Stegostoma tigrinum: one gene and its partners. The protein of the gene in region 3 purifies or fractionates together with the protein of the main gene of each other region. This does not show direct contact. Links are inferred from orthologs where the notes say so. Each region holds a gene or a part of one and is shown on either strand. Other genes may lie near its edges. The genes, in order: pbrm1, arid1b and bcl7a.

Region 1 (3,754 bases), on a different chromosome or scaffold from region 3:
TTGTCTGATTCTAAGTATTAAATTGGCTAAACAAATACACTGCTTAACCATAGGAGTTTTTTTTCAGGGACAGTAAAAGGAAAATTAGACAACAATATCCTAAATCATATCTTATATTGGTTGGCCACACTCAAAGAAAGTTTACATGCTATTACGCAAAGATTTGTTCTGCTGAATGTCCTAGTTTTGTCCAAAAAAAGCCTTTCTCTTGTCTTTCTAAAATTTTTCTATGATAAGCTAGGGATGTCTATGCACTCCCAACATCTGAAACAAAAATAGAAATTGCTGGAGAAATGCAGCAGATCTGACAGCATCTGTGGAGTGAAAGCAGAGTCAATATTTTTGGTTCAGTGACTCTTCATCAGAATGCAACACTCCTGATATCACCTCTATCCTACCTCCTCCCAGTCATAAACTGCAGACAAAAAAATACTGCACTAGCACACTTCTTTCCACTTATGTACTGGTTTTGCAGCTGTCAAATCAATGTTCTATGCCTGTAACAAACCCTTCATGCAGGTGTTTTTCTTTACTTTCTGTTGGCTGGCAGGGGTAGCCAAATGTTTTGATTTATATTAGGCAGCCTCATATTTAAAGTTTTTACCAGCAGATACTGTACTAAAGTTAACATATAGCATGAGAATCAGGTGTAATGAGTTGGAATCGGTCAACTTGATGGGCTGAAGGGCCTTTTGTGGACTGAATGATTCTAATCATTGAGACAACATGGTTAACAGTACTTTCCAAACTATTAAGTCAGTGAAATTCAAAGAGGACAAATTAACATTTTTTAGAACAGAGAACAAAATAATTGTGCCGGCATTTTTAACAGGGTATCACCAGAGCTTACAGACGTAATTATCTCGTAATTTAAATAGTCAAATAATGGTGCACATCTTGAAGAAACGGATAATCTTTCCATAGATTCAAATGCAGGGCGCCTCAGTGCATAAAAATCTCTGGAGTTTTTTTGCAAAGAAGTTTCTTAGGAAGATAGTAATTTATAGATGGAAGCAGCATCGTGTTTATTGCCTGAATTCAAAATTAATTTTGATAATATCGAAGTGGATAACATACTGATATGTCAAAATAAATGTCAATCATTCACATTTGTTGAAGAAGTTATTTCAGTACTGACAATTTGATGGACTCACCGTAAAGATAGCAGACTAACTGCGTCAATGACAGGATGAACAGTCTATCTCACAAACTAATGAGATAAGAATTAAAAATAAAAAGAAAAGCAATGTTTGGAGAAATAGAATGGGTCAGAAGTGTGTAAAAAAAGGAAGAGAGAAATGTAAGCTTAAGTGGAAGAGAGTCAAAAAGGAAAAGTTAAACAACACAATTTATAATCTGTAGAGGAGATCCATCTGTCTTAATTATTTCCTTTTAAAGTTAGAGATGAGGTGACTTTGTGGAAACATGAATCTTGTAATTAAAACAGTTCTTACACCATTTAGTACTAGTCCTGCTTTTCTATAACAAGTCAAAATTCATTTTAACAGAGCAAATAGAATAATTTCTTAAAAGTCACAGGTCAGCTGGCTGCCAGCTCCTGCTTTCGCAAAGCAAATTTTGTAATAACATGCAACACATCAGGTTATCTCAAAGTTGCCATGAATAGCTGCGCTACTTACAAATTCATAACTTACAGTGAATTCACTGTTACTTTCTCAGCAAATTCTGGCCTAACGTTTTTGCCCAGTGGATCTTAGTAAACTGTGACTATGTGGAAAATTTGGTTTAATTGGACAACTTTTTTAAAAACTGAAGTGCCATCTTAGAAATGTAAATATGCTTAAAATGTTGTTATGACAACAACCATAAAAATGTGGCATGTTCCCCTAATCAGGAAGTGTTCTATTCCTAGGATTACCGGCAGATTTTATTCCCCGATTGTACGCAGCTCCATTTCAATTTAAAATAAACCCACTGACAACAATACTAGTTCATTGTCTTGACATCTTAAATGTACGTTCAATCACTGAATATCCAGCAACGATGTCTGGATGATGTAGGCAGGGTACATTTCATTCATACCTTTGGAACAGGGCGAAAAATAGGCTTAAACGTAAAAGTTAAAATATCTGCTTCCTTTCAATATGGGCAGAAACAAAAACAGCTCATTTAGGCGCTGAATGAAAGGTGGAATGAACTGAGAGGTGGACACAAGCCATCGCGCGGTTGAAATCTTGACTCCCGGGAGCTGACTGACAACAAAAGAAGCAGCGGCCTGAGCCTCACAAACACCTTGGCAGCCACGCAAAAACAAACTGGAAAAAGACTGCAGGCACAACTTCCACACATCACTCATCTCAGTACAACTCAGCAACCGAAGCCGTCCTTACCCTACTCGGCTGATCCCGAAAGAATATATGATAAAATAATAATAATAACAACAAGAGATCCACAGTCTCCTCCTATACCCAACTATGCCCCTATCGTCAGCATCAGCGGCTCAGCCGTAAAGCGGGTCGGGGATAGAGTATTGACGACATTGACGTGCTCTCTCACTGTGTGTTTACGGCAGGCGATGGGACGTTTGGGACTTTGTCACGTGGATTGCTCTTTTTGCAGCCGGACGGTATGAAGCGGCCGAGTGAGTTGTGTGGCGTGGAATTGTAGTCTTTACTGTTCGTTACATTCTTTTTTTTATCCGCAGGAGTTAGTATTGTTTCGATTCATTGCCCTCATTGTTGCGTTTCCTTACAGAGCTGAAAAAGGCGAGCAAGCGCCTGACATGCCACAAGCGATTTAAGATCCAGCGAAAGGTGAGCCGGGGTGGAATCCACGAGTTGTGGACGCCCCAATATTGGGTACATTGTTCGCTCTGGGAAAGCTTGTGAGATATAATAACCGGATCGTAATGTATTGAAACTGGCTAAAGAAAGAGCAAGTACTTTTATAGCCAACCTGAACTGCGCCAAGCCCCTTCACAATCACCTAAGTTAGTACTTGTACGAGCACGTGGCTTTAAGGCAAACTGCGTAACACATAGTCAAGTACAATTTGGTATAAACTCTTAGTATGCAGTTCGAGCACCTTGCAATTTTTGTACATCACGCTATTTAGAAAAAGTTTACTGCAGCCTATTCACATTTTTAAATGATTGGGCAGGAGTATTGGATGATTAGATTATTAACAAAGAGCAGATGAAATGCATTTTGTAATGATTGAGAAGTTCAGGATACGGATTTAAGATGGAGTTTTGGAAATCTTTTCATTATGTTAAGCTGACGGAAGAGAGATAAACAAGAATAGAGTGGACATATGTGAGCATGACTTATGGTCCTTGTCAACTAAATGTCAACAGACATGTTTCTGTTGTAATTTTAGTGTTTATTCTATATACTTTTTGTAATTCACTGCTTGAATTAGTGTGCAGTTATACCTCATTGATATTTCAAGAAATTTGCAATTTACAATCTATAGAGCCTTTTTGAAGAAAACCACCCAGATTTGACCATTTTTAATAACGTGACAAAGAAACATAGTACTGGGTCATTTGGCCCTTCGAGGCTATTTCTCCGTTTGGAACAATGGCTGATAATTTTGGGGTCTCAGTCTCACAATTTGACTGACTCCATAAACCTTGGATGTGTGTCAATCTTTTTAATTTAGCCTTTGATAAATTTTATATTTATTAGATTGGATTAACTGCAGTGTGGAAACAGGCCCTTTGGCCCAACAAGTCCACACCACCCCTTGAAGTATCCCACCCAAACCCATCCCCATTCCCCTCTAACCCACG
Region 2 (3,754 bases), on a different chromosome or scaffold from region 3:
GAATTTGGTCTAAAACGATGTCTTACTAATGTAGATAACAAGGTGTAGAGTTGGATGAACACAGCAGGCCAAGCAGCATCAGAGGAGCAGGAAGGCTGACGTTTCGAGCCTAGACCCTTCTTCAGCAATAAGAAGGGTCTAGGCCTGAAACGTCAGTCTTCCTGCTGGGCCTGCTGTGTTCATCCAGCTCTACACCTTGTTATCTCAGATTCTCCAGCATCTGCAGCTCTTACTATCTCATCTTACTAATGTTAATTGTGATAAGTATTGAGAAAATGTAATAAATCTATTAAATTGTTTTCAAAATGAAATGGGATATGCAGAGATAACAAAGTGTGAGGCTAGATGAACACAGCAGGCCAAGCAGCATCTCAGGAGCACAAAAGCTGACGTTTTTGGGATATGCAGAGAATCGACAACTACCATATCATCTTATGAAGACTGATGCTTTTTAAAATGGGAAACAAAGTTTGAATTAGTTGATAACGAGCATTTTGTTTGGTGGGTCAATTTTATAACACATTAAGGTAAGATACAATTAATACAAACTATGTTTACAGATTACAATAAATGGCAACTTAAGAGAATCATAGGTTTAAATTAATGTTGTTATTCATCAAATAGAAATGATTGCCAATAGTTTATGGTAAGTTATACATATTAACAGGTTAGGAAATTAGAATTCATGTTTTTAAACAACATAGAAAGTAAAACAATTATAAACGTCACTGCATTTAGATTGTGCAGTATGGGAGAGATACAGGTTCCAGCCCGTGTTTTCGAGTTGATATGCAGTAATCAGAGGAATGGATAATAGTTGTTGGAGTCCTCATGCCATGCTGGGCCAGAGGCTCAGCTAGACATGTAGTTACCCATATCCGGGTTAGAGAGGAAAGGAAAGTTTGATTTTTAAAACAGATCTGGAGAAAGTTTTCTACCTATTTAACAAAAATAGAAAATAGAATTTAATTTATTATTATAATCACCATGCAACAGAAGAGAATGTGAGCCTATTTTTCTTTTGCTTTCAAACTGGAGGAGGACAAGTTTTTTTTCTTTTTTAATAATATTTAATGATCGGGTGTAAAAGGAAGCAGACGTGTCTGTGTCTTTCCCTGCTCTCCGACTGATTTTCTGAGAGATGATCATGGCTGCTCAAGTAGCAGCAGCTCCGGCCAACAGTAGCAACAACGGTGGTAGCCCCGGCCTGAGCGGCCCCGACCCAAACAGCGTCAACAACGGAAAACCGGCGGCTCCGGTAGGAGGACTCGGCGGTGACGGCGGAGATCCCAGTGGCGGCGGCTTGAACCTAAACAGCGTTGATCATCATCACCATCCTCGCCACCACCACCAGCACCACCTTCCCCACCAGCAGCACCACGGCGAGCTCACCATGGCCAACTCCTCGGGGCCTGGCCCCAGTCCGGCCAACAACGGCGGAGGCAGCGGCGCTGCTGGAGGCTCGGGGTCGGCCTCGTCCAACCCGAACCCAGAGCCAACGCACAAAGAACCCGCCTCAGCCTCGCCTTCCTCGGCGTCCACCGCCTCCTCCTCATCTTCGGCCGCCAGTGAGGCGGGGATAATTCCCAATCACAAACTGAAACCCACCGGCGCTGAATTGTTGCTTCCTCCCCATCATCAAGGAGAAGGAGGCGGCGGGGCAGAGACTCAACATGGAGGCGGTGGTGGGAAAGACAACATCTTGTTAAGCGCTGACAACCAGGGCAACAATAATAAGGCCGACGACCAATTGCTCAAAATGGGCGATCAGAGATATGAGCACCCGGCAGGCTCCAATATTCAAGCAGAGCCGGCGCCTGGCCTCCACGATTATAATTATTATTACCGGGCGGCGGCGGCAGGAACAGGCCCCGGTCCAGGACCCTACTTCGATCAACATGGCGGACAACAAAGCCCGGGGCTTGGGCTTCATCCTTCCAGCAGCTTGGAGCTGAGCGCCAGCCCGCTACACAATTCTCACGACGGCTACTCCAACAACTACAACCACTACTCGGGGTACAGGCCGGCTTACAGCAGCCCTGGTTACGGCATAATGAACTCTCCCAGGGCCAACAATATGGGATCCAGTGGGGCCACCAACAGCGGCCACCATCAAGGCAAGCAGCAGCCGCCTCTGGCCGGGGCATTTCAGCGCTACTCAGGCCAAAACCAGCATTCGGGGGCCACGCCAACTCTCAACCAGCTACTGACCTCCCCCAGCCCCATGAGGGGATATGGCTTTCCGGACTACAGTAATCCCGGCCCTTCGCAGACCTCGTTCAAAGGGAACGACATAGGCAGTCAATACGGAGTAGGCAGCAGCCAACCCTGGGGAGGCGGAGGCGGAGGTGGTGGTGGTGGCGGCGGAGCAGGACAAGCCCGCAGCCACACGGCCATGAGCCCTGGCAGCTCGGCGCAGCCTCTGGGCAGGACACAGGTAAAGCGGCCTGTGTTGTCGGTGTCTTTCTCCCTGAAGGGAGAATGGAGCTGGCGTTGTGCGATGTGAAGATATTTAGAGAGAAAGTCGTGCAACTGCTGGTCAGGGACCTAGGCCGCGCTACGTTTCATATGACTTCTTACTGGCAAGGAGAGAGTTTTAGCGACTCTTTTTCTTGGGATACGCCGTATGCAGAGAGTTTGTGCTTTCTACCCCTAGCGATGGGTGTCCGCTGTGCGGATTTATGCACTGAACTGATAACTTCCAGTTAGGTTACTTCTAGATTAAATAAATCAGTTAAGTTTCCTTTTGTTAATTTAAACTGCTATTCGGTATGTTTTTGACCCCACCCATTTCAGTTACTTTTACCCTCCAGGCTGCTCGGGTTGATTTTTGTTTCATGGTGTATGAAAACTGGTAGGTCCATTCAGCTCGTATTCGAATCTCTTCACCTTCATTTGCAAGGTTTGCAATTTGAATTATGGAGGTAAAACGCCTGGAATCGAGTCTCTAGACAGCTGCCTCCGAGTTGACATCTAATCTGCCATCTGATTGGTTCTCACACTCACCACTGGGCATTTATCAGTGCTGATGTAAATACAAGTTCCTGAACGTCGCAATCGTAAGCCCACATTGCACGTTTCCTAAGAATCCGCACAATTTACAGAGCGCATGGATCATTAAGAGAAATCAACACCGCTTCAACTTTCATTCCCTTCGACATTCCAGTTGCACTTAAATATCAAAATTTCCATTTTTAAAATGTGTTTGATTCGATAAACCATCTTTGGCAGTGAAACACTTGTTTAGTAACAAGCGGTTGACATATTAAAATATTCTGGAATAACCAGCTTATGCATATTTACTAAAATCAGCCATTAATTATAAGCGTTGGTAACTTTAATGAAACAGCAATAGATATTCCGTACACTTCAGAACCTGTTCTGTGTAATCAAGGGATAAGCTTGTTGGATGAATTGAGAAGTAATTTAGAACAGTATTATTTTAAAATATCTATTAAGTGAAATCTATACAAATGAGTATTATGGTTAGTTCATTCAAAGAAAATTAACTGCTTTGTAAGTATTGCCCAGGAAGTACTGCATATAGAGCAATTTACTATTGTAAAATACCATAATTGTTATTGCTTTTGATTCCACACCAATTGTAGCAATATTAAAAACTAGAACTTTAACTTTGTGAACTATATTTCCTTTTTTTCTAATTAAATTGAAATCTCTTTGTCTGATTGCTCATGGTAAATGCTTCAGTATAACTATACAGACCCATAAGTTCAATTCCGTGCCAATGGTATGG
Region 3 (3,754 bases):
GTAACATTCAAACCACTATGCAACATACTGTCTCCACAAGTCATTGCAGTCGCAGAAAGTACATTCCTGGTTCCTCTGCTCCAATTCAGATGGCAGCAGGAAAAAGTTCCTATTCCTGATTGTTATTTAGCAATACATCCTGTTTTCAGCATTGGAAAGACATTATGTAGGATGGAATCAAACTTGGCAACGATTCCTTTCTTCTGTGATTAGCCCATCACCACACTTTCTGGTTTCACATAAGAATAATTACAAAATATTGCTGAGTAGCTCAAGTAAAATCTTGAAGGGAAGAAATCTGGAAGGAAACAAAATTCAGTTTAAATTAATGACGAATAAATAAACTAGGTGATGGCAATCTCTCAAATTTCTCTCCTCTAAGGCATTACATCCTTCAATGGTTAGTTGTAGAATTGTATTCAATAACATGCTTATGAAGCAAGATAGGATGTTTTATTACAAATAAGATCCTTTATAAATAGAAGTTTTGTTTATTTAAAGCAGTCATAGAACTTAATTCAAGTGATAGCACTCCCGTCTGTCAGAAGGTTAAAACCCACTTCCAGATACCTTGGGCACAGACTAGACAAGAAGCTCTTGCACAACAGTGAAGATGAACTGCATCTTAGAAAGTGTTGCTTCAAATTACACACTAAATTGACATGTCTGCTTTCAAAATAGTTTCATCGGAGCATGAAGTTTGAAGCTGGCCATTTGGGTTTTGTTTAAGTCTGCTCCAGCATTACTAAGACCTGGTTTATAATCTCAACTGTACTCTTCTGTGTCCACTATAACATCCAACTCTGCCTTAATTAAATTCAATGATCCAGCCTGCATTCCAAAAGACAGAATTACCCCGGAAGTAATTGGTAAAGTTTATGCCTCAATGTCCTTAAAACATTATACTGTAGACACTTTCTATGCAAATTGCTACCAGCTTACATTAATTTCACTTCATTACCTGCTCATTCTCTACCCACAGATTCACATACTTGTAAAGGTTGGGCCTAGAGCCTTCTTTAAATATCATTGACTCATTTGATCACAAGGTCTTTCATTGTACATGGGAGTGTTACATAGCAGTATCCAAGTTCTGTTACCCATGAGAAGTCCATGTATCCCCTCAGGTAAAGAGAATTTAGTGTACAATAATAAACTTCAAAAGTACACCTTTGCCTCCAAAATTATGTCAAAACATCCTGAGGTTGTGAAAGTTGCATATAAATTTAAATGTTTTCCTTACTGTTCCTTTTCTCAAAATAAATGCTAAACATATTCGCAATTTAAAAAGTTAATAACAGAATTCAAATCACCTACAACGCTCTCTACGTCATGCCTCAACGTCAAGAGAGGGATTTACAAATTGTGATTCTAAGCAGCAACACAAATTAAATCTGGGTAAGAGGTCACGTTAGGACAACCAAGATAGCAGCAATATGAATAGAGCACGTGGATTCTAGTTACAATGTTTACAAGTAACTGAAAACAACAGGACGCGGAGTTATTGTGTGCTCTCAACAGCTGATTGCGAAGTGGATACATGTAAATTGTTACCTCTGCCAAAATCTAACTTCACTCAAAATGAACTAAAAAGAATATGCAAGACAAAACAGTTATTCACGAAAAGACTTTTTATTCGTGGCTAAATATTTATGCTTTCCAATTAGCGCAAACTCATGCATTGCCCGATCACGCAACAGAAATTTTGTCGTCTAAAAATACTAGATAAATATAATAGCGAGAAAATACGCGCACTACTAGATATTTAATTTTACACTCGGTTGATAGTGACCCAGTTGAGGTTGGCTACTTCCTCCTCCCTTCCTGGCCTCGCCCTGTACTAAAGTGCGATCCAAAGCGCTAAATTTAAAAACCTTCATCAACAATAAAAATGAAAGAGGGCTGTGGAGCGTACGGGGAAGCGCCGCGCCGAAGCAGAGCCGACAAAGGACGCGGTCGTCTCGCAGTCTGCAGCCGGCACCGACACAAAGCAATGGCACAGGCTTCATGTGACTGCAGCGAAATGGATTCTGGGTTCAGCCCTCATTCCTATCGATGTGGGTCGGCTTTGAAGTGATTTTTTTTTAATTTTAAAATAAACCTGAAAAGGCAATCCCTATCCGGCTGTCCGCTCACCGGCGACGGAATTCCCCTCCTACAAAACCTGGATTCCGCTCCGACCCAAGTGATCTCCTTCCCCTACCACCTCCTCCTCCTCCTCTCTTCAACGACCGAGAGGGAAACGCCGACCTTTTAAAATCATATCCCCGTTGTGTTGTCGGTTTTGTTTTTAAAAAGACCCCTTACCATTTCCGTACTTTTTCGATAGCTGCCATAACCCTTTTGATGTCATCCTTGGCCCTGCTCCTGGTCTCGGCCCGCACCGACCTGCCGGACATAGTGAATTGTGGAAAGGCCGAGCGCCGCCAGCACAAAGCAAGCGAAACAACCTCTCTCTACCCGCCCCCTCCCCCCCAAACCAGGGCCGCCGCTACTGCTGCTGCTGCTCGAGCCGCCCTGCCTGCGCCTGCGCAAACGTCCGCCCCCGCGCGCGCGCGCGCGTACACATTGGAAGGAGAGCCGCGTGAACAAAGGCAGCACCTATCGCGAGATCTCATTCCCCCGCTTTTCCCGCCCTGCCTCCATTCAGCCACGTGTTTCATGACCGTAGAACCACGCGCGTCGATAGGTCCGCACGTTGAATAAACCAGTCCAGAAAGAAAACCTACATCGGACCCTTCATGCCGAGAAAAACTGGAATATGTTTTCGTTCAAGCCTTAAATGGCGACTTAAGATCCTCGGCCTTGGATGGCGGCTAGCTTATTTCCATGCACTTTCACATCTGTAATACACCAACGCTCCCTATTTAAACAACAATCCTAATTCTCTTCAAAACCAGCGAGAAACCAAACGGCACAAAAGCTCGATTCTAAACAGAGCAGGTACTTGGTGACTGAGCATGTCCAATGTCTGCCCTGGCCACCCTGCCACTGCTGTTTCTGCACAAAGTCCCTGTGTGCTCCTTGGCCCGTTTCCTTCTTGACACTTTATCCATGTATATCGGCATTGGAAAACCACCAGCCTTAGCACATCATGCCGGTCTCAGAGCAATTCACCAGTCAGTTCACACCTTCAACCCTCTAATTTGGAGCAAAAGAACTTGTATGTTTCTGCCGGTTGCTTTGCATGCATGCTGGAACACATGCATCTTATGGCTCTTAGCTTGTGTTCTACCGCTGATTGACCTTAGAACTTATCTGGAGACATCCATCCTCTCTAGATAGCATTGCTTTCTTACAGCACGAGCTCTTGACTGCTGACTTATAGATTGCCAGAAGGAGTGGTAGACAGCTTGTCATTTTGAGGAGCACTGGATATTCAATGTATCAGTCAAACAAGAAGTGGGCATGTAATGATGGCACCATCCAATGTCAGAGCAACGTGCATCAGCAGCTTATGAGACAAATATACTGCATGTGCGTTGAGCAAATGACAGTGAGAAAGTCAATGGGGAAATGCACTTAGTAGGGCATGGGAAGATTATGGTTGGTCAGGGGTTAATGCCATGGCAATCTTATTCCAGTTACAGAGTTGGTCACAGTCAGTCCTGCAGGTGACAGTCAAGTAGTTTAGGGATGGCAAGTAGGTCAATAGCAATGCTATTGAGACATCAGTCCAGGGGTATATTTAGTTTTACCTGCAATGAATCGAGAAAAACTGAGTATGATGTAAGTATGGTACAAGATTAGTTAA

Evidence for each region.
Region 1: the proteins of bcl7a (region 3) and pbrm1 purify together in Homo sapiens (affinity purification with mass spectrometry; 3 studies listed by BioGRID and IntAct, counting the BioPlex papers as one, with this or other methods). This does not show direct contact. The link is inferred for Stegostoma tigrinum from reciprocal best matches to the Homo sapiens genes BCL7A and PBRM1.
Region 2: the proteins of bcl7a (region 3) and arid1b purify together in Homo sapiens (affinity purification with mass spectrometry; 4 studies listed by BioGRID and IntAct, counting the BioPlex papers as one, with this or other methods). This does not show direct contact. The link is inferred for Stegostoma tigrinum from reciprocal best matches to the Homo sapiens genes BCL7A and ARID1B.

The regions. Positions count from the first base shown.
Region 1 is NC_081364.1:19,751,898-19,755,651, reverse strand, and holds the start of pbrm1 (protein polybromo-1), read right to left. Parts: upstream 2,469-3,754; 5' UTR 2,352-2,468; intron 1-2,351. Other genes in the region: gnl3 (guanine nucleotide-binding protein-like 3), read left to right, coding at 2,590-2,602, 2,716-2,774. UniProt on the Homo sapiens protein: Involved in transcriptional activation and repression of select genes by chromatin remodeling (alteration of DNA-nucleosome topology). Required for the stability of the SWI/SNF chromatin remodeling complex SWI/SNF-B (PBAF).
Region 2 is NC_081362.1:36,513,052-36,516,805, reverse strand, and holds the start of arid1b (AT-rich interactive domain-containing protein 1B), read left to right. Parts: upstream 1-825; 5' UTR 826-1,141; coding exon 1,142-2,437; intron 2,438-3,754. UniProt on the Homo sapiens protein: Involved in transcriptional activation and repression of select genes by chromatin remodeling (alteration of DNA-nucleosome topology).
Region 3 is NC_081379.1:25,482,369-25,486,122, reverse strand, and holds the start of bcl7a (B-cell CLL/lymphoma 7 protein family member A), read right to left. Parts: upstream 2,491-3,754; 5' UTR 2,400-2,490; coding exon 2,308-2,399; intron 1-2,307.